Coturnix japonica: one gene and its partner. The protein of the gene in region 1 binds, or shares a complex with, the protein of each later gene. Links are inferred from orthologs where the notes say so. Each region holds a gene or a part of one and is shown on either strand. Other genes may lie near its edges. The genes, in order: OPRM1 and POMC.

Region 1 (10,223 bases):
AAAGGAAATAGTAGAATCACAATTCTGGGATTCAGTACAGAGCTGCATGTTCCTCCAATCAACACTGCAGTCAGGTCTGAACTGTTGGTGCAACAAGGCTCCCATAATCACAAAATATGGGGATTAAACTGTGCTTGGACAGCTGTTTTCAGCCAAGGAACATCTGATATTTTTTAATAGGAAAGAATTATTAGGAATAAAATGATATAAATTTATTTAAGCTACCTTACCATTACTACCTTACTATTACTAGTATTAAATAAAGATTATTCCCATTGGAAAAGGGAATTATAGCAATTTGATCAGTAGTTACACTGAACACAAGATCTCCCCATGGTAGATTAAATGTACTCTTTCTTAGAACTTCTTAAAGTGCTGCAAATAAACGAGAAACAGAGGATTTCAAAGAGTACAGAACAGGAACTTGAAGGATGGAATAGGTCATGCAGTCCTGAAAATGATCCACAAAGGCTGCTCAGGCAAAAAGTTTCAGAAATGTAAGCAGGTAGAGGCAATTAAATGTTAAGATTTATAGGACTGGTATTTCAGGCAAGAAAATACCAGAAATAGGTTTTACGGATGGAATTATAAGCTCACTTCACACAGGACCAAGTTCAGACCATTTTCTTATCTGAAAATGAGCAGAGTTTGCAAGATTTTGAATTCTGTAGCTTTTAACTGTTTTAAAAATTAACAAACATGTGAAAGCATACAAATATATATATGTGCATGTCTATATATAGTCAATGCTCTCCCTTTGCTTTATTTCTAAAATTAATTTCTGAAAATAAAGTGATTTAAAAAAAAATTTATATATATATATATATATATATATATATATATAGGTATCATTATGCCCATTCCACAGCAATTTCACTAGTGTTCTTCCACATCAATAATCAAATTCACCTCCTTATTCTACAGTAAGGGATTATTTAATTTCATTAAATAAATAATGCATAGATATTGCTAAGTATTACAACAACCTCAACTTTCAGTGCTACCAAAATGGCACTGAACTGTGATTCAGGAGTTGTATATGTTACAGAACAATTTATTATGGTTCTTAAGAGTCTTCTGGTTAATTCATAAATCTTAGTGGAACCTATGAGTCCCACAACAAGTACTTTACTATCCTATTCTGAGGATTTCCTAAAATTGTATTACTCTTTAAAAACTATCTGAATCTCCTTCTTTACCAAAAATCTACTGTTTCAACACATACTTAATGCTGTCCTTCTTACATGTCAGAGCAATATTTAGTATTTAGATTATAAAAAACAACTCTTATGTTATATGATAAAAGCTCATCTGCACATTCACAAGAAGCACAGAGTAACAACAGAAGCTGAGTGATCCTAAATAATACCCTGCTCTGGCTACTCCCATGGCCATAAGAGGAGGCCAGCCCACCAAAGGCTCATCTCCCCAGTGCATAAAGGAAAAGTCCTGCTATGTCAGACTACTGATATACCTCACATCTTACATCTCTGACATTCGCTTGTACTAAACACTTAAAACAAGTTGTTTTTTTTCTTTCACTCCATTAGCGCCAGCTCATCTTGCCTTTAATAACACACATGACAGTCCTACCCCAGTCTCTTATGTCCTGGATATTTCCTTCTTTACCACCTCCCCGCTTTAGCCCTCATCACCTCCTTACATTTGTCCTCATCTCTTCTGCTGGATAGCTCTTGTGGGCCTGCTGCCAAGATCCATTTAACTATTTTTTTATTTTTTATTTTTCTTGTCTATAAAGATAAGAAGCAGCATTTTCAAGAGAATATAGGCCATTGTTAAAACATTTTTACAGATCCTTAAGATATATTAAAAAGTGTTGAAATGTGCGATTCTAAATCGTGTATTTACAGTGTATATGCAGTATCGATATAAACATCATACATAAAATCCTTATGAACTGAGCAGTGGAGGCTTGAATTTCTTCAGGGCAGAAAAAAGGTTTTGTACAAAACATTGCAACTGAAACTAAGGAGATGGAGACATGCTGATCTCAATTAGTATGACTTTGGGTAAATAGCTTAAAAGAACCAGAAAGACACAGACAAGTTATCTGAGCTATGTTAGATAAAATCATGTCTAATGTAGTAGCCCCTTCAGGCCATTGAAATACTAAGATTAATTAACAGGCTTACCCATAAATTTTAAATTGCATTTTCCATGCTACACATTCCTTGCATTACATGATGAGTAGAGTTGACTAGTCTGACACAGCAAGGAGATGTAAGAGCTCGGCTCCCTTTTGTCCATCACATTATGCCATTATTTGCACATGGTAGAATTCCAACACATACTTTTCAGTTCAAAGTGATTTAAATAAGGAACTAAGAGATAAGGACCACGTTTAGTCTGTTCTACACATAAGCAGGCTCTGCTCAAACACCAGCCAAACCTGAAGGCAGGTCACACAGCCTGTTAGTATGGTACAATGATTTAAAACAGTCTTCACAGAACTGCTACCAAAACACTATGACTACATCACCTAGAGAATGTCCTTACCAGGCGACAGGAGGATCTATCTTTAATGCAGTTCACAGCCAGATGAAGACTATCATTCTGAGAGATCAACTGACTACTACTTCTTCTTATCTGGCTGAGATGTATGGATGAGCACAGGCTCTTGACTAACATTCTGCAAGGAGAGAGAATACTTCCACTAGCAAGGCTGAAGAAGAGCACAGCCTACTTCCAGACCTCTTCTTGCCCTGATCCTGTAAGAAACAAGTCCCACTGCTATGCTACCAGTATACAGGCTATCTTTATAAAGGGCAGAGCCATTCTCTCCATTCTGTTTGCTAACTGGATTGTAAGCAAGGAACATTGTTTCCATTTAGTTTAGGACCCACAGAGTTACTGCAGAAGTGACCTCGCTCCATGAAAACTCTGGTTTTGCTGTGGATGTATCTATAATTGCATCAGAGTGATCTCTCTGATTGCTACTCCTAGGACTGTTTTTGATATACTGTTTTCACTCTAAAATTCAATTCTTGAGATTTTCTCAAAGCTTGAGCCCATCAATTTTTAGTTACAGCCTTGGGAATTTATTTATCCTAGTGCTATGGCAGAAAAGAGACATACAAAAATCTGTTCTGTGTTGGAAGCTGTGATTCTGACCCCAACCTGATGTTGAGGCAACTATTGAAGACGTACATGTCTTAAAGCTCTGCATTTTCCCTTTCTACCTGCACCATACTGCTACCCACAGGATTACTGATCTGGAACTATACAAATGTATTTTCAGCAGAATCTTAACTATGCAGCCCTCCATGATCTGAAGTTATTTGTAGAAAAGTATTATACATTATTATACTTAAAATGTCCTTCACCATCTGAAAGCATCATTGCAAAGATTTATTGCGTGCTGCCTTTGTCCTTGAGCAATAACATCTGTAATAGCATTGCAAAGAGGTGCATTTACTATCATCCCCTTACCTTTGAAACATCGCTTAATGAGGCCTATCTTAAATAGGCACAATTCCCAAGGCTTATTGCCAATTCTCTCTGAGGTCTGCGTTTTCATCTGTACCTGCCAGAAGGTTGATTTAATAGGAATAACAATTCTTCTGTCTTTAACAATAAAGCCTTGTATATAACACCAGATTTACCTGGGCATCCATTTTTAAAACTTTTGGAAGACACTCATTTTTAATCCATCAAAGGTCCTTCTGATAGCTAGAATGATACAAAGCTGACTTTAACACAGAATACAACAACAACAAAAAAGCTGTAGCAGCCTTGATTTTTGTTTCCCATCTGCCCTACTCCTTTCACAGCTATACAGAGGTGTATCCAAAAGGCCAAACACTGACTGCCTAGGCTTGCATTAAACTATTTTGATGGAGTTGGTGGAACAAAGGGGAAGCAGTGAGAGAGGCTCCTACGCTATGCACATAGTGCACTATGCACAGAGATAAAAGTCTTTGGGAACAGCTCAGTTTTAAAGCCCTGCTCCTCCTGTTCTGTGTACAACTAAATATGCTGCACTTCAAGAAGCAGTGAATTTCACCATGAGAAGTCTCTGAGTATTTACTTTCATTACTGCATGTCCACAAATGTTTTCAATTCTGAACCTTTCTTCTTATTCTGAATATGATGCTAAATGGCTCTCTCATCAATAAATGCTGAAAATACTCTCTCTGGCCACTGGGTAATAAGTGCTATCTACACAAAGAACCTGTTAACAGCCTGCTCGATTTTCTTCCTCCACTCTGTTGTATCTTAGTGAGATTTGAAACTATATCACTTTAAAAAAAAATGGGTATCTATTACTCATATCTGTATCCCTCTCAAAGTCCAGTAACACTCCATTTTAGTTTTCACTGTTTTTCCTCCTCACTGCTAAAGGTCAGAGATACTTTAGAAGAGTGTGTGGTCTTCTACTGCTACCCACCCTAACCAGCAGTAGCTGCCATTACTTCTGACACAAAAGCTCAGGAAATCATTGATCTAAATTGCCTATATTTTTGCATCTTTCTGGCAGGCTGCAACTCATCTCTTCTTCTTCTGCCATTATCACTCCTGAAACAGCAGGACATGCTTTGCCTGTGGTAAGCACAGACACTGAGGACAAGTCTGTGATGAGGCAGCAGGGGCAATCACTGCCACTCCATCTGCTTCCTGATCACCAGTATTTCTTCTGCTTTACCAAGGAACCCTTCTGATTTCATTGATGAAGCAGTAAAAGAAACAGGTCCTGGTAATTAGCAATCAGCCACCCTGCTGGCACTGCTGGCAATGTCTGTCTGTACACAGAAATGTGCAAATAAGCAGTGGCCAAGTCAAACACCTGTTTCAGTGTATGGACATTGCCTTCCAGTAAAGAGAACGGTCTCCATATCTTTTCTTTTGAATGTTATCACATCTGACAACAATGAAACCAATTTCTAGGGGAGATGGCTCTTACAGGTCTAGAGTGGAAATATCTCCAAAAACTATGTGAATATAGGAGTTCCTAATAATTTCCAAAGCACATTTCTGTCCAGTGTGGTACCACACAGCTCCCCACGTTTTACTTCCAGTGTCAGCTACTCTTTCTCCAAGCCACAGAATCAGGGAGGGCACAGTCTGGTCGATATTCTTGATTCACTGCATTAATCAGCTGCACGCTGACCCCTGCTCAGCTCGGGCAGCATCGCCAGACATTTCTTCCAGCTGCTTACCCAGGGGAAGGGAACGCTTTAAGGGCTCCCCATCCTCATATGCACAGCAGGGCAGACTCTATTACAGCAGCACACTCTTAACCCCAAAAAGCGCTTCGCTTGACGCCTCACGAAGACCTCACAGGGGAGTGAAGCGCCACCTCCCCCCCGTTCCGCATCTTCCCCGTCGTCGCAGCTCCTCCTCCCGGCCCGCCCGTCACACACATGTGCCCGCAGCCAGCGGTGGGGCGCGCCGTCGGGGCGGGCGGGAGCCGCCGCCTCCCTAGCACCGCCCGCGCCGCGCATCTCTCGCATTCGGGCACGGGGAACCGGTGGCCGCTCTGACGCCGCCTCGTACCATGGCCGTCGCTTACCTTTTGGGAAACGGCTCTGCGCCGCTCTTCGCCGGCGCCCTGGAGGTCCCCTTCGGAGCCAACGCCTCCGCTGCCGCCTGCCGCCCCGCCGTGCCTCCTTGCGCGGCCGCGCCTCCGGGCACATGGGGTAACGGTACGGCGGGCTGGAACCGCTCCGAGCCTTGCAGCGGTGCCAACGGCAGCGCGGGCGGCGGGCCATGCGCTCCCGCGGGCGGCGGCGGCCCCTCTGTGGTCACGGCTATCGCCATCATGGCCCTGTACTCTGTAGTGTGCGTCGTGGGGCTTTTCGGCAACTTCTTGGTCATGTACGTCATCATCAGGTGAGTGCCGCCGTCGGGCTGCGGAACGGCGTTCCGGCGGCGGCGGGGTTAGGCTGCGGAGGCTCCGCGGAGCGGTGCGATGCGAGGGATTCCTGCCTCCTGGGTGCGGGGTGGATGAGTAGAAGAGGCTTTGAGAAAGCGTCGGAGCGAGAGATCGTGGAGGGAAAACGCGGCGGGGCCGAGCGCCCCGTCGGAGATACTCTACGTGCCCCTAGGGCTGCAGCACCCGTCAGCGCTCCGACCGTGGGGCCCGACACTCGCAGCTGTCCGCTGCTGAGGGAGGGTAGAAGGGGACCGCAGCCACCGCGTGTGCGGGTATACGCACAGCACTCAGCGCGCATCTGTCCCCAAACCTGTGCCAACACAAAAGCAAAATATAAACGGCATCTCAGCTCAATGTTTCTCTCTCTACCTGGATTTATAGATCTTTACCTCGAGTGTTGATGTGCGTGTTTTATGCTCGTATACATCTGGGTCTGTGTACTTGTATATACATCCACCCGTACGCATGGGGATCCTGGCAGCTCCCCAGGCTCCCAGCTGCGCTGCAGCAGTGAGCGGCATTGTCACCCGCAGGTCCCTCACAAATGTGTCTTTCACGCACGAGGAATCTCATAACCGTAAACCGGCGGCAAGCGGGTGGCAGAGAGATGAAACGGGCTCCGGTGGAGTCCGGGTCGGGTGTTCGGATTCCGTGGAGGAACAGTGCCACCTCCCGGGGGCGGCGGGGCCGAACGGGACGAAGCTGCCCTCGAATGCCCCGGGTCGGGGCTGGCGCGGCACCGCCTTCCCCCGGGCAGCTGGCCTTTCCGAACCGCGCTTCTGCAGGGAGTGCCCCGGGGGAGTGCTCCCTCCTTGCCGCAGGTCTTGCAGTTACCCCGGGCAGCCTCTGTCCCTCTGTGCAGACACTGCGTGGGGCTCAGTGGTAGCTGTAACAAGCCAGGGTGATGCTCCAGTGATTCTTTTGGTGTACAACATAACAGCAGCTGCTGGAGATGTGTCTGCAAAGCCCGTACAACTCATAAACCTATTGGGAACATGACTTACACACACCAACGGTTCAGACTATTACAGTTAAGAATCCTACTGCTTTTAGCCATACTTTAGAGGCAGAACAGGGAAGATTCTTTGTGCCATGAGAATTTGGTCAAGGTGAAATCCAAGCTGTCTATGTGAGAAGTGCTCCTGAACAGGAACATGACTGCAATGGTCTGAGCAAGTAGTGAACGCCTTCCTTTGGGAGAAGAAGCAGATGCACAGTGTAACAGAGCCAGGGTGGTTGTCAGCAGTGTGTATGTTAGAAGTCTTCCATGGAATTGTATATTTATACCAGCCATAACCTGTTCTGGGTTCATATTTCTTATATTAATTAATTCAATTACGCTTACACCACAAAGCCAAATTAAATGAGGCACCTGCATTCAGCTTTCTATCTTGAGACCATCTTTCCCAGAGATTAAACCTTAACACAAAAGCCAGAAGCAATAAAAGGCAAAAAAAAATATGTTTTAATTTTACAGAGGAAGACATAAATCAGTTAAATTACCTCCTTAAAACCACTCTGGAATTCTGCAACAGAGATAGGACTGAACCCAGGTCTCCTATGCTTTCACAGCAAGAAGCTTTCCATATGACAAATTTCCTTCTCAATATCCTATTCATATTTCCTGATTTAGGATGAAAAAAAGCTTGTTTATTATGGTTGAATAGAATCTGCAGTTTAAGCATCACAACAATGCCTTTCCTTTCTGTGCTTCTATATAGGTTTGGTATACTTGGGCACCTGTAAGGAACTCTGAGTTTTTTCCTGTTGCAGGCTATACTGACATGAGAGTATTCCCATATTATATTACATGCGTATATGGAACAGTGAGCTTATGTGCTCATATTCATGAAACCTTAGGTCCCACTAAAGATAGGAGGCAAACCTTTCCTTGGTTCTAATTTGACGTACTATAAATCTCCCTATCTTTATCTACTTTTCATACAGTGACTGCTCAAGAAAAAGGAAGTTCTGATGTTTGTGTTAATTTTGAGATGAATTAATACTACAAGAAAGAAAAATTGAAAGTGATATTGGCAGCTTGTTTACTTTGAAAATGCCAGAAGCTTGGGGGGAGATGCTCAGATGTTTGAAACTGTCCCTACTCACCTCTTAGAGTCCAGTGAAAGTTTGGAGTGCTGCATGCTAATACATTGTGCTCAGCTTCTTTGGAAACATTTTGTGGAATAGCTATTAAGTTATTTTTATAAGCAGATGACCTTAAAGCCCCATCCAGTTGTCCCGTCTCCTCCATGTGAAGCAGATCTGTGGGCCTGGAGCCAGAGCAGTGCAGTTGCTTGCCAGATGTGGAACTGTCATTATCAATATATAATGTCATGGGCTTTGTATACCTGTACATTATCATGCAATCTCAACCACCCTCCTCATTCTCCCAAATGGTTTCTATTCAGCTGAATTATTTCTTCCTTGAATTAATATTTACAACGCATTATATCTACAGTATGTGAAGCTGAACCCCATGTTACCGACACTGAGCTGTTTCCTTTGTGAGGTATGAAAAATGCCTTCTGAGTGACAGCAATAATAGTCAGGTTTTACTGCCAGCCATGAATTTTGTTATCTCTTTTCCTCATGTGTTTTGTTTAAGCATGAACTACTAATACAAACACAGTGTCATTACAGCTATATTAACAGCAAATGCTACAGCTAGTTGTTGTGGAGTACAACTCTGTGTACAGTTACTATCATCATGTGGCACTGAATTAATTTCACATCAATCTATAGGCTTTTCTTGCTTTCTAGACAAGTCAGTAGGATATGATGAGAGGGGGATGAAGAATATGGCCTGTGATTAAGGAGGTGTTCACAGTGCTAAAAAACTGTGATAGATCATAGCTGAACATCTTTGGCATCACCAGAGTAGAGAAGTTGAGGCCCCAGCCGTGCACTGGGTGAAATGCCATGAGACTGCAGCAATGCCATCAGTAGATGCTATTAGCACTCAAAGCAAGAGCAATGCCTTAATTGCTGTGCTAATCATTTTGTCACATATCATAAACAAAGGAGCCTGAGGTGCCCCCTGATCCTTCACAGGATGAGGGAAATGCCTTTTTGCATTAGAGTAAGTGATTACAGAGAAGTCTGCTTTGAGGCAAAAAGCTTTTTACAGTTCTCAACTGTGTTTTGAAAAATAAAATACAAAAATTATTACTAGATCATCATCTGATTTGGGAAGACTGTACACTTCTGAAACCTCTGCTTACTTCAGCCTGGCTCACTTGTGCTTTGAGAGTACTGTTTTAGTAAGAAAGGGACTTGGCATGTAATTTCAATTGTAGGAAGAATGGATGTCTTCAGAGGAATACTCTGACACGTGGAAAGAAAAGCAAGGAGTTCATAAACAGGATATGGAGTGGAGAGAGTCTGATTTGAGAAGTAAGCTGAAGATGACCCACTGAAAATGATCAGAGGTTAAAACAGACTGAAGCAAAGAGTTTTTTTCCAAAAACAAACAAGCAAACAAACAAACAAAAAACAACAGGAGCTCTTCTTTGCAAAGGGGCTCTGAGTTATGGATCCAGTGTGAAAGAAGATCCATGGAATGCCTTGTGGCAGTATAGTTCAGGGAATTTAGAAACATAGAAATCCATAAAATACATTCTTTTCTTTCCTGCCCACAGCAACCTCAATCTCTTTTCATTTGGATGACACTGCATCTGCCATCTCCAGGGAGACCTGATAGCAGCCTTTCAGTATCTAATAGGGGGATATAAGAAAAGGGACTCTTTAGCAGGGTCTGTTGTGACAGGACAAGGGGAAATGGTTTCAAACTAAAAGAAGTTTGGTTTAGATTGGGTGTAAGGAAAAAGTTTTTTTGCAATAAAGATAGTGAGACACTGGAACAGGTTGCCCAGAGAAGTGGTGGAGACAATCAAGGTTTAAGGGAATCTAAGTAGGCAAGACCAGCCCAGAAGCCGAGTTCAAAGAGTGGTGCAGTGAGAAGATGACCCTCAGCACACCACATTACACAAAGGCATGTGTCTCATTTGCACACTGCTTGCAATAAAAATTTACCAACATCTAAGGTAAGGTGCTCTCCTCTCCTCCAGAATCAAGAGGAGCAGATTAGATAAAATGCCATGTATACTTCTCTATTTTCATTTGGTTTTTTTTAAGTTATATTGATACAACCATGGTTGATGACCTCAGAACAGCCATGGTCTCTCTGAGAAAGAGGCCAGGTCAGGCTGCCCAGCCAACTCCCACCTGCAGGACTTGGGCTACCCCTGCAGCACCTCCACCCCTGGGCAGAGATAGATAGGCTGAAAACTTCTCCCCTCACTCAGTTTCCTCATAAAAGTCAACCTAA
Region 2 (10,112 bases), about 51 Mb from region 1:
TCCAACCATAACAATTCGATAATTCTATGGTAACAATGGGACAAATCACACCCCACAGCCAGCTCCTTATGGGGCAGTCTTGGGTTGGGAGACCAAGGGAAACATTTCGCTCTCAAACCTCAGCTGAGAGCTCCTCCAGTGCGATTAGCTAAAGACCAGCTTCTCTTTATTGCACATGAGTGGATGGGCATTTAACGTGCTTGCTGATAATGCAATCCATTATCTTCATCCCTCTGGTCCTGCTGCGGGGCCGGAGGTGGCGGGGGAGGCGAGCCGGAGGAGGGACAGAGCCGGGCACAGCCGGGCCTTTGTGTGGCCACTCAGGAGCCACTTTCCCCGTGAATGTTTGGGCTTCTAAATGGATCTCACCTCCCCTCCCCCAGCCCCTTTGCTTTTCATTTCTTTTCCCCATTATACTCGGAAAAAAACTCGTCCGGATCATTAGCGTCAGAGGCGGAGACGGGCGCTGAGTGCCACATGGAAGAGGCGAACAAACATTTCGTTCAATGCCCCTTGAGTGCCGTTTAGCTCAAGGCTGCTCCTTCACAAAGGGAGATGTGAAAATGGGCCCCGCACGCTGCTGTGGGGCGGCCGGCCACCGGGTAGAGCTGCGCTGGAGCTGCCTCTTCAGGGAGACAAAGCACAGCCATTTCGACTGCCTTCGATTGATGTCTGAGCTCTTCGGGGAGCATTTAGTGAGGAGGGAAGGAAGGGGGGGAGGAATTCAATGGGAGCCCAGGCAATGTGCATAGTCATAACCACGAAGCTCTGAAATGCCCAAGGTTGAGTGCTTGGCTCACTGTCCCCAGCATCCTTTCCACGTTCGTGGATGTACGTCAGCTGCAGCCTCTCTGATAGCAAAGGGTCAACTGAAGCCAACATCAGGCACCGCTTGGCCAACTCTTTCATAGAATCATAGAATCATTCAGGACTCCAAGACCATCAAGTCCAACCCCAACCCATCACCACCATGCCCACTGACTGTGTCCCTCAGTGCCACATCTCCATGTTTCTTGAACCACATCTACACACTCCCAAAGCCAGCAATGCAGATTGCACATTAAGAAGAAGCTGTTAAGGGTCATCATGAAGCCTGTGCCACCACCATGCCTTCTTCTCAATCCTCCCTAACACAAGCTGTTTTTGTGGGCAGCTCCTGATCCCCAAACCCATCCTTGTCCAGCCTCAAACCCATTGCTAGGACTGAGGACATGGACAGTATCTCTGTCCTTGCAGATCTGCCACCAAACTCACACTCAGTCTGCTGCAGTGCTGAACAAGAGGCCAGGATGTGTTGCCAACAGATTTGCCATCAGTCTTGCCCATTAGCTTTACCATTGGTTTTGCCATCAGCTTTGCCACCCACTTTGCTTCCAGACCCCCAGTGCAGAGTCACACAGCTGGCATCACCCCAGCCACCAATATTGGCTTTGGGCACCCTCTCCATGCTCCATCTGGGTACCAGCTGGGAGCAGACAGGAATGGAATACATATCCAGCTGGATACAACTGGAACACAGGAATGCGGTGTGGGAGCTGAGCTATAGGAAGGAAGCCCCTGCAGGGCTTCTAACCTCTACCCACACCCAGATCCCCCCTAATAAGCTGTAATCCCTCTTAGGGGCACAGGCGGTAATCAGGGATTTGGCTCCAGGCGTGCAAACGTGTGTGAGCACAGGGCAAAGCGTGCAGGCGTGTGCATCATCGCAGCTCTGTTGTGCCTGTGTATGTCTGCAGGATGCTACCAGTGCAAAAAGGAGAAGAAAGGCAGCAGGAAGGAGAGAAGAAAATGTGTAACTGGACAAAATACATAACAGGGTGATTTGGGGGTTCCTGGCTCCACCTCACCCACTTTTGCCCCCAGGATAAATCTGACCTGGGCTAACCCAGCACATAGAGCAGGACAGCTTCAAATCCAGGAGCTGATGTGAGCAGAGTTCAGTCTAAAAGCAAAGAGTGCAGTAGTTAATGATTGCCTTCTGTCATTAACAGCTACTGGATTGGAGTGAGTGACTCCTTGGGAAGGGCATCCCATGCAGCAGGCTGCCATGCTTCCTACCCTTTTGCATGGATACTCATCACTGCTGAAGGACCAGCAGGTCCACTGGGAGCTGTTTAGTGATGCACAGCATCCTCTCATACACTTCAGAGCCCCACATGCTTTTTTTTGCTTCTTCCTAGCCAAATGCCTTCATTCTAACTTCAATCCGATGACCTCAGGAGCAAGAGGTTGGTGATGGGACCCCAGCCCCTTCCGGAGCTGCTCTTGTTCTGGTAGTGAACACATGGCCAAGCACAACCATTTTAAGAGCAAATTACACAGCTCGCATTTCAATGTGTGTGCTCAGGATTGATCACTCCTATGTCTTCTCCCAGAAATGTCCTACCTTCATGGGGAAACCAGTAAAAGAGCTACCAGGTCAACAGTGCAAAGCACTGCAAGAAATCTCTAACCTGAGATTATTAGGGATGGGGACGATCCAGCAGCACACAGCATATGGCTGCAAGGCACAGATGTGACGCTGGAGGGATGTTGTTCCGGGCAGTACTACATGGCTGTCAGAAGACCCATACAAGCCCCAGCACTGCTGTTCATAGCCCAGGAGGATTTGAGCACAGCTGTGAAATTCACACCCCAGCCCAGGACTCATTTGCACGTAAGTGTGACCTGTTCAATAAATTAGAATGGAAAGGCCAGAAATCACGTGGCTGACGAGCTGCTCACCTGCAGGTGCACCTCCATGGGGACAGCAGCATGGCAAAGCCATCCATCCATCAGCCCTTGCCCATGGCATCCCAAAATTCAGCCCCCAGCCTTGCAGTGTCAGCCATTGGCACAGGCTGCCTAGTGAAGTAATGGAGTCACTGTCCCCAGAGGTGTTCAAGAGCCATGGAGATGTAGCACTGAGGTTTAGTGGGCATGGTGGGGATAGATTAGAGTTGGACTTGGATTGGGTTGATGGTGGCCTAAGAGGTTTTTTCCAGCCTTAATGATTGTGTGATTCTGTGAGTAGGTATGATGGTGATAGGTCAGCAGTTGGACTTGATGACCTCAAAGGTCTTCTCCAATACTAATGACTCTGTAAGTGGGCACGATGGTGATGGCTTTGCAGCTGAACCAGCCCCAGCTCCAGGAATGCTCAGGCAGCACCTGTGTAGGCCTTGAGGGATCACACCTTGGCCATAAATCCCAGCAGGAAGTACAAGGGAATGTAACTGGGCTCTGCTCAACAGTGCTCGGGGCAGCCCAGGGGCACAGGGCACAGCCTGGAGCCCAAGAGCTGCCCATTAGTAGCATTGCAGTGCTGGGTGGGTGCTCAAGCCCTGGCACAGGGAGTGGAGAGGTGTGGGGGTCCTCCTTGGGGGTGCCCCACAGCCCCTGGCCGTGGTGCTGGGAACCCAACCATCCTGAGGCTCTGGGCTATGGGGAGCTCAGAGGATGGACTCAGACCAAGCTTTGGGGGCTGTATCAAGGCTGGTGAGCGTGGAGGCATTCTTCATCCCAACGCCTCACCTCAACAAAGTTTCCCTATTTCCTAAATAGATTTCTTCCTTATAAAAATAACTGGCTCAGAGAGGCCTAATGAAGATGAAAGAGCTTTTAAAGTGGGAATCATAGCTCCTTTTTGGCCATAAAGCATTCAGAATAGCTCTCCGTCATGAAAATATATTGCATAGCAGGGGATCTGCCGTGGAGGGTGGAGGCAGATAATACAGTTAAGGAATATGAATTGCTTGTGCCACAGAGGTCTCCTGGATCTGGGGGGGAACTGGAGGTCTGGGAAAGGCATGAAGCAAAGTGAAATGGAACCTGTGACGGAGCTTTGTGCACCATCCCAAAGCAGTGATGTCAACCTCATGCACCCCACATCCCACCGCAAGGAGGAGAGAATCCAAATCCCATTGCAAGAGGGGAGCACCCACATCCCATTGCAGGAAGGGAGCATTCTGCTCACCTGCACATTGCTTGGTCTCGGTGTCTGGAGGAGCCTATTGGCAGCTTCTATAGCAATATATTTTACAGCTCAGGTGAGCCCTAAAGAAAATGAGTCTTGCTAAGCCTTGGATTCCTTGCTATAGGAGAGGGATCTGCAGACAAAAGCAGTCCAGTGGAACAGAGAGAACAGAGGTTTGTGCACAAGGAGGGGGCTGTGTGTGCTGCCATCCCAAGTGGTTTCTTTAAAAACAACCCTTTATTCCACCAAAATCCAACCCCAAACCCCCAGCACCCATCGGAGCACGGAGCCCTCCCACACCCGATCATAAGGAACAGATGCCCCTGCACCAAACACCCAGCAAAGCACTTTCCGTCCGACCCCTCTGATCCCGAAAGCAATTAACAGCTTCGCATGGAAAACTTGGCCGGCTGCGGCTGGCGGGGAGATGCTAATCCCATCCACAGCCACATCAGCGCCGTGCTCACTGCTGCTCTGCTTTTGTTCGCTACCTGGAAGGGTCCCTCCGTCCCCACCTTCCCCTCCCTTTCCCACCCCCAACCAAGGGCCATCCAGAGGGCGGCTGCGGCGCGACGCTGGGGGTATATAAGGCAGCAGGGATGCAGGGACGTCGCAGACTTGCTCTCGGGGAGACGGGGACCGGTGGTGGCTGCGCTCCAGCCCAAGCCGCAGGTGAGACCTCAGGGATGCAGCATGGCCCAGAAGGGCTTCTCTAGGGATATGGGAGGGGGAAAACTTTGCAAAATCTTGGTTGCAGTGGGTTGTTTGCATGGTTAGAAGGATGGCAGCAAGGGGATAAAGCACCCTCTTCCCTGAAATGCTTCGTGCATCCCTGCCCCCCAGCCTCTGCCCCCCCTTCATTCTCTGCTTTTTTGGGTTACTGCATGCTGATGTGTTACAGAAGTGGCCCCACAGTTGCAGATCCAACACAGCTGTGTCAGAGCTGGGAGGTTCCAGGCAGCTGCTCCCACGATTTTGGGGCAAAAGACCCAAAAAGCACCTCCACGCCCAAACTCTGCCCACTCTCTATTAAGAGCAGGATGAGATTTTCATTAATTTGCCTATAGTTTTCTATTCTTTGGGATGGGGTTTTCCTCCCCTGGCACTCCCAGGTTGAACCACGTGAGTCCCCACAAAGTTAAAAACAACTTGGGAAAGAGTTGGGTTTGGCAAAAGCAAAGTTAAGTGGATACATCAGCCTGGCACTGCCACCATCACCACAACCCTCACCTCGTCTGGACTCACCCAAAGCAGTCCCTGCAGCACAGCCTGCATCCCTGGCACTTCCAGCGTCTCCCAGAGCGCTTCCCAAGCGATGATCTGATGTTATTTCATGTACCATTTCAGCTTGAGGGGGGTTTGCAGGGGCTGCAGCCTGCAGGCAGCTCCATCATGCTCTCCCCCTGCAGCATCACTCGCTTGCCTGTGGCTCTCAGGAGGGGCAGAAATCCTCATGGCAGCGGCTGTCACCTGCAAAGGCGGGTGTTAATGCAGGTGACAAAGGACCTGGGATTTCGGAGGCAAAGGATGGTGACAGCAAAGCCACAAAAGGCTGGAAGGAGGGGGATGAAATCCCAGCAGAAGCAGCAGCCCTGAATTTGGGCAAATAGTTGTTATTTTTTTTAACTATTTCTTTGTTTCCATAGCGCTCCTCTGCAGTTTGGGGACCCATCCTTGGCTGGTACCATGCGGGGTGTGCTGTGTTACAGCCTGCCTGTGGTGCTGGGGCTGCTGCTGTGCCACCCCACCATTGCCAGCGGCCCATGCTGGGAGAACAGCAAGTGCCAGGACCTGGCCACTGAGGCTGGAGTTTTGGTAAGTGGGAGCGTGGGGCTGCCCCGGGCTTGGTTTGCTTTCTAACCCAAACGGAGGAGGTGATGGGATGCCATCCCTGCTGGGTGACATAGTGTAAGGTTGGAGTGATGCTTTGGGCTCTGTGATCTGAGGGTTTTCGTGTGCTCACGCCTTTTGGCTTCATAGAGTCACAGAATCCTAAAGTGGTTTAGGTGGGAAGGGACCCCAAAGCCCCCCCAGCCTCAACCCCTGCCATAGGGACACCTCCCAGCACATAACTCCATCAAGGTATGGGGCACCCACAGCTTCTCTGTTCCACAGCTTCACAACCTTCATTGTAAAGAACATCTTCACGTTGGGTAAAATCAGTTTTTGGACGGATATCATCCCTCCTACGTGGGATGAATCAGGAAATCAGGGAGTGATGGTCATGGGATGGTGGTCATGGTTAATTCTCTGCAGGGGCTGAGTGTGCTCTGTGGATCCAACGCACTCAATGCTCCCCCCCAGCACCTTTTACATCCCCATAGAATGGGTTGGGTACTCCATGCTCCCCCTGGGGGACACATAGAGTGGCACTTGCATGGGGACGTCACCAAGGCACGCGGCCACAGGTTGGACGTTAGGAAAGATTTCTTGCCCTAAAGGTGATGCAGTGATGCACTGCCCAGGGGATGCTAGGGTCACCATCCCTAAAGGTGTTCCAGAACCATGACACAGCACTTGGGGACACCGTGACTGGGCATGGTGTGATGGGCTGGCAATCAGACTTGGTGATCTTAGAGGTCTTTTCTAAGCAGAATGATTTTACGGTTCCATTTCACCCCATGCAGGCGTGTGCCAAGGCGTGCCGAGCTGAGCTGTCGGCCGAGGCACCCGTGTACCCAGGCAATGGACACCTGCAGCCCCTCTCTGAGAGCATCCGTAAGTACGTGATGAGCCATTTCCGCTGGAATAAGTTTGGCCGTCGCAACAGCAGCAGCGGAGGGCACAAAAGGGAGGAGGTGGCCGGCCTTGCCCTGCCCGTCACATCACCCCACCACCCCGCTGGGGAGGAGGAAGATGGAGAAGGGTTGGAGCGAGAGGAAGGGAAGCGCTCCTACTCCATGGAGCATTTCCGCTGGGGTAAGCCGGTGGGACGGAAGAGGAGACCCATCAAGGTGTATCCCAATGGTGTGGATGAGGAGTCAGCTGAGAGCTACCCCATGGAGTTCCGGAGGGAGATGGCGGCCGACGGGGACCCCCTCGGCCTCTCAGAGGAGGAAGAAGAAGAGGAGGAGGAGGGTGAGGAGGAAAAGAAGGATGGTGGCTCGTACCGTATGCGGCACTTCCGCTGGCATGCGCCGCTGAAGGACAAGCGCTACGGCGGCTTCATGACCTTAGAGCACAGCCAGACCCCGCTGATGACTCTGTTCAAAAACGCCATCATCAAAAGCGCCTACAAGAAGGGTCAGTGAGGGGAGCCCAGCCCACGCGGCCCCACGCAGCTTTAGTGTCCTGCCGCCATGTGTGTCACTTAGATCCACAGATCGCTCGTTATGTTGTTAATTACTACTCCAAAACCCTCCTGCCCCCGACACCAAATGGCAACAGGTTGGGGCTGAACGTACCAATGTGAGCAGTGCTCACGCTGGGTCATTTTCCTATTTTCACCAAGCTGTACAATACTGTAAATGATGGATTAAAAGAATTCTAAAAGAGAAAAAAAAAATTAAATAAAAAGACATATATATATAATTTTTGCAAGCTATCTATGTGTCTGCAGTGTCTCTGTGGCTGTGTCTTGCCAAGGGGTAAAACAAACAGGGACATGTTTGGTGGGACAGATTGATAGTTGGACTTGATGATCTTACAGGTCTTTTCCAACCTTAATGATTGTCATAGAATCATATCATAGAATGGCTTGGGTTGGAAGGGACCTCGAGGATTGTGAAGCTCCAACCCTGACTCCGCCACCACAGGCAGGGCTGCCAACTTCCATATCTACTACTAGACCAGGCTGTGCAGGGCCCCATCCAACCTGGCCTTCAACACCTCCAGGGCTCTACCAGTGAAATCTGGAGTAACTCCAAGCCCAAATCCTGCAGCCGGGGACCAAAAGGCATCACTGGGGCTGTGCATGGGAGATGGGATATATTTCAGTAGAGGTTACTCCCAAGGGATTTGGGCTCCCCCATCCCTCAGCAGCTTCCCCAGTACTGATCTCTCTGATAAACTCATTAACTGCCTATCAAATGGCAACACAGAAGACCCTCAGGTACCAAAGAAAGTGACCTTACCTATAAAGTCATGTTGCTAAACCTGAGGGGTTTAGCATGGTAAAGAGGGGCAATGAAAGCGGGGAGCAGCTGTGGATCTGGGACCATCTTCAAGAGCAAATATCAACTGTGCCAGGAGTAACAAATCCCTACCACCTCCCCCAGCCTTACAGAGAAACCAGGTGCCACGAACGTGCCAACAGAGCTGATCCCATAATGTGGCAACACCAACATTTATTGGAGGGCACGTCTGCAAATATCGACGGCATCTCAGCCCCTTTCACAGCCCCACTCCCCTCCTGCCCTCAACTACACACAGAAACAACACGGTGCCCTGAAATACAGAGATGGAAACGCACACATGCACCTAACTGCTGAGTTTATAGAAATATACTTTGTCATCTATACAGACACCGGTATCTAAACTAAATGTGATGTACAAACAAATCACTTACACTGTGTGTGTGTATCTGCAGAGACATTTACAAGTGGAGTTTGGGTCCTGAAATGTAATGCTGAGCACAGCCAGCACTTGCTTTTGGAGGGGAATAGGGGATGTAACAAGGGAACAGCAGCACTGGGACCAGGGAGACCACACCGAAACCCCCAGCCAGGGGATAAGGTGCAGTCCTGCCCCAGGATCCCTGAGAAGCAATGGAACCCCAGGACGTGACCTGTGCCATCCCCATGGCAGCCAGGTTCCAAGGAGCAAGCCTTGTGCTCATCTTCCCACCTTCCTTGTGAGTTTGAAGTGGTTTGGAGGTGTCATCCCCTCCCCCCCATGCACACACAGTCTGGCGGTTAATTCCTTTTACTACTCCATTTTGCTAAACATTTACTGTTTTTCATTTGCACAGCTATGGGAGTGAATCCTCCTTTGTCAAGCAGCCTCCTTGCATTCCCAATGCCAACTTCACCCAGCCAAAACTCCAGGGGGACTAACGAAATAAAAAGGGACAGGCTGGGAACAAAAAGATGGGGGGGACCCCAAGGAGTGGCTGTGGCAAGGGACAGCCTCAGGCTCTGGGCAGGGCTGGCAAAGCCACACTGCAATCCCAGCCCTGGGACTGAAATAAACCCTTGTTTTTTCTGTCCTCTTAAGCTAGGTCATTTCCTAAACCCGGATTACATGACAGCCACACAAACAAGTGGTAGCCTCGGGGCAACTGCAAACTGCACCCACCACCAGAGTGAAAAAAAAAACAAACCGATGTCAACGTGGTATTACACCTTCAAGTAACTGTCTGAAGAGCTACAGTAAGAAGGGGCAGAGAAAGGAGTGGTCGCTGAAGCAATCCATTGGCCACAGGCAGCACCACTGCGACCACTGGGTTTACCTGCTGTCCCCCCACTGTGCACAGCACCATCTCCCACACCTCCAGTTTTGAGTTTTAGATCCTCCTTGTGTCTCCTCCTGTAGTGAAATCAGAAGCAGCGTGTCCAGCTGGAAGGAAAGGGGTTGCCCCAGAGGTGACATGGGATTTTATAGCAGTCCTGGTGCAGGAGGCTCCATGCTTGGTTCAGCAAAAAGCTGCCTGACCACAACAAGAGGCCTTTCTTTCAAAAGGATTCAGCTAAAAATAACCAATCTTTTCCTCAGACAGGAAACCCAACACTGTGAAATCCCAAACCAAAAGCATGAAAATAGTTGGTTAGTGTGTTGATATGCCCAAAATGTGGTTTCTGCTCATGACTTATGGTGGCTCCAGGTGACTCAATGCACTGGCTGTGGCTGCTGTAGGGCTTCCCAAGAACACCCTGCTGATGACATGGACAAGTCAAATACAGCTCTTCTGGATCTCCCCTCCTCCTCGAGAAAAGTTTTCCCAGATAAGTCATGTTTTCAAGTGACCTGGAACCAGCCAGGTTGTTGTGTATCCCAACACTGGGATGGGACAATTGCTGCCCTCCTGTCACTCCTCTTGTCCAGAGTGAAGTACCCGAGCAACTGGCCATGCACTGGGGCAGCTGCTGGGAAGATGAAGCTCACAGGCCAGGAGCTGGATGTGTGGACTGCACCCTTCCCAGTGATCTGCTATGTGAATGAGCTCTAGCAGGATTTAGTTTTACAGTTGCCCCAGGCTCAGGCACGTTGCACCATGCAT

The links.
Region 2: the proteins of OPRM1 (region 1) and POMC are in contact, whole or in part, in a cryo-EM structure (PDB 8F7Q), measured with the Homo sapiens proteins. The link is inferred for Coturnix japonica from reciprocal best matches to the Homo sapiens genes OPRM1 and POMC. Residues at the interface, in NP_000905.3 of Homo sapiens: Ser66, Met67, Ala70, Ile71, Met74, Gln126, Asn129, Tyr130, Leu131, Met132, Gly133, Trp135, Val145, Ile146, Asp149, Tyr150, Met153, Arg213, Ile217, Asp218, Cys219, Thr220, Glu231, Lys235, Val238, Ile298, Val302, Lys305, Trp320, Ile324; in NP_000930.1 of Homo sapiens: Tyr237, Gly238, Gly239, Phe240, Met241, Thr242, Ser243, Glu244, Lys245, Thr248, Pro249, Leu250, Val251, Leu253.

Annotation. Positions count from the first base shown.
Region 1 is NC_029518.1:45,126,494-45,136,716, forward strand, and holds the start of OPRM1 (mu-type opioid receptor), read left to right. Parts: upstream 1-5,395; 5' UTR 5,396-5,515; coding exon 5,516-5,850; intron 5,851-10,223. UniProt on the Homo sapiens protein: Receptor for endogenous opioids such as beta-endorphin and endomorphin. Receptor for natural and synthetic opioids including morphine, heroin, DAMGO, fentanyl, etorphine, buprenorphin and methadone.
Region 2 is NC_029518.1:96,190,524-96,200,635, forward strand, and holds POMC (pro-opiomelanocortin), read left to right. Parts: upstream 1-4,538; 5' UTR 4,539-4,627; intron 4,628-5,214; exon of another isoform or gene 5,215-5,601; 5' UTR 5,602-5,641; coding exon 5,642-5,770; intron 5,771-6,582; coding exon 6,583-7,206; 3' UTR 7,207-7,447; downstream 7,448-10,112.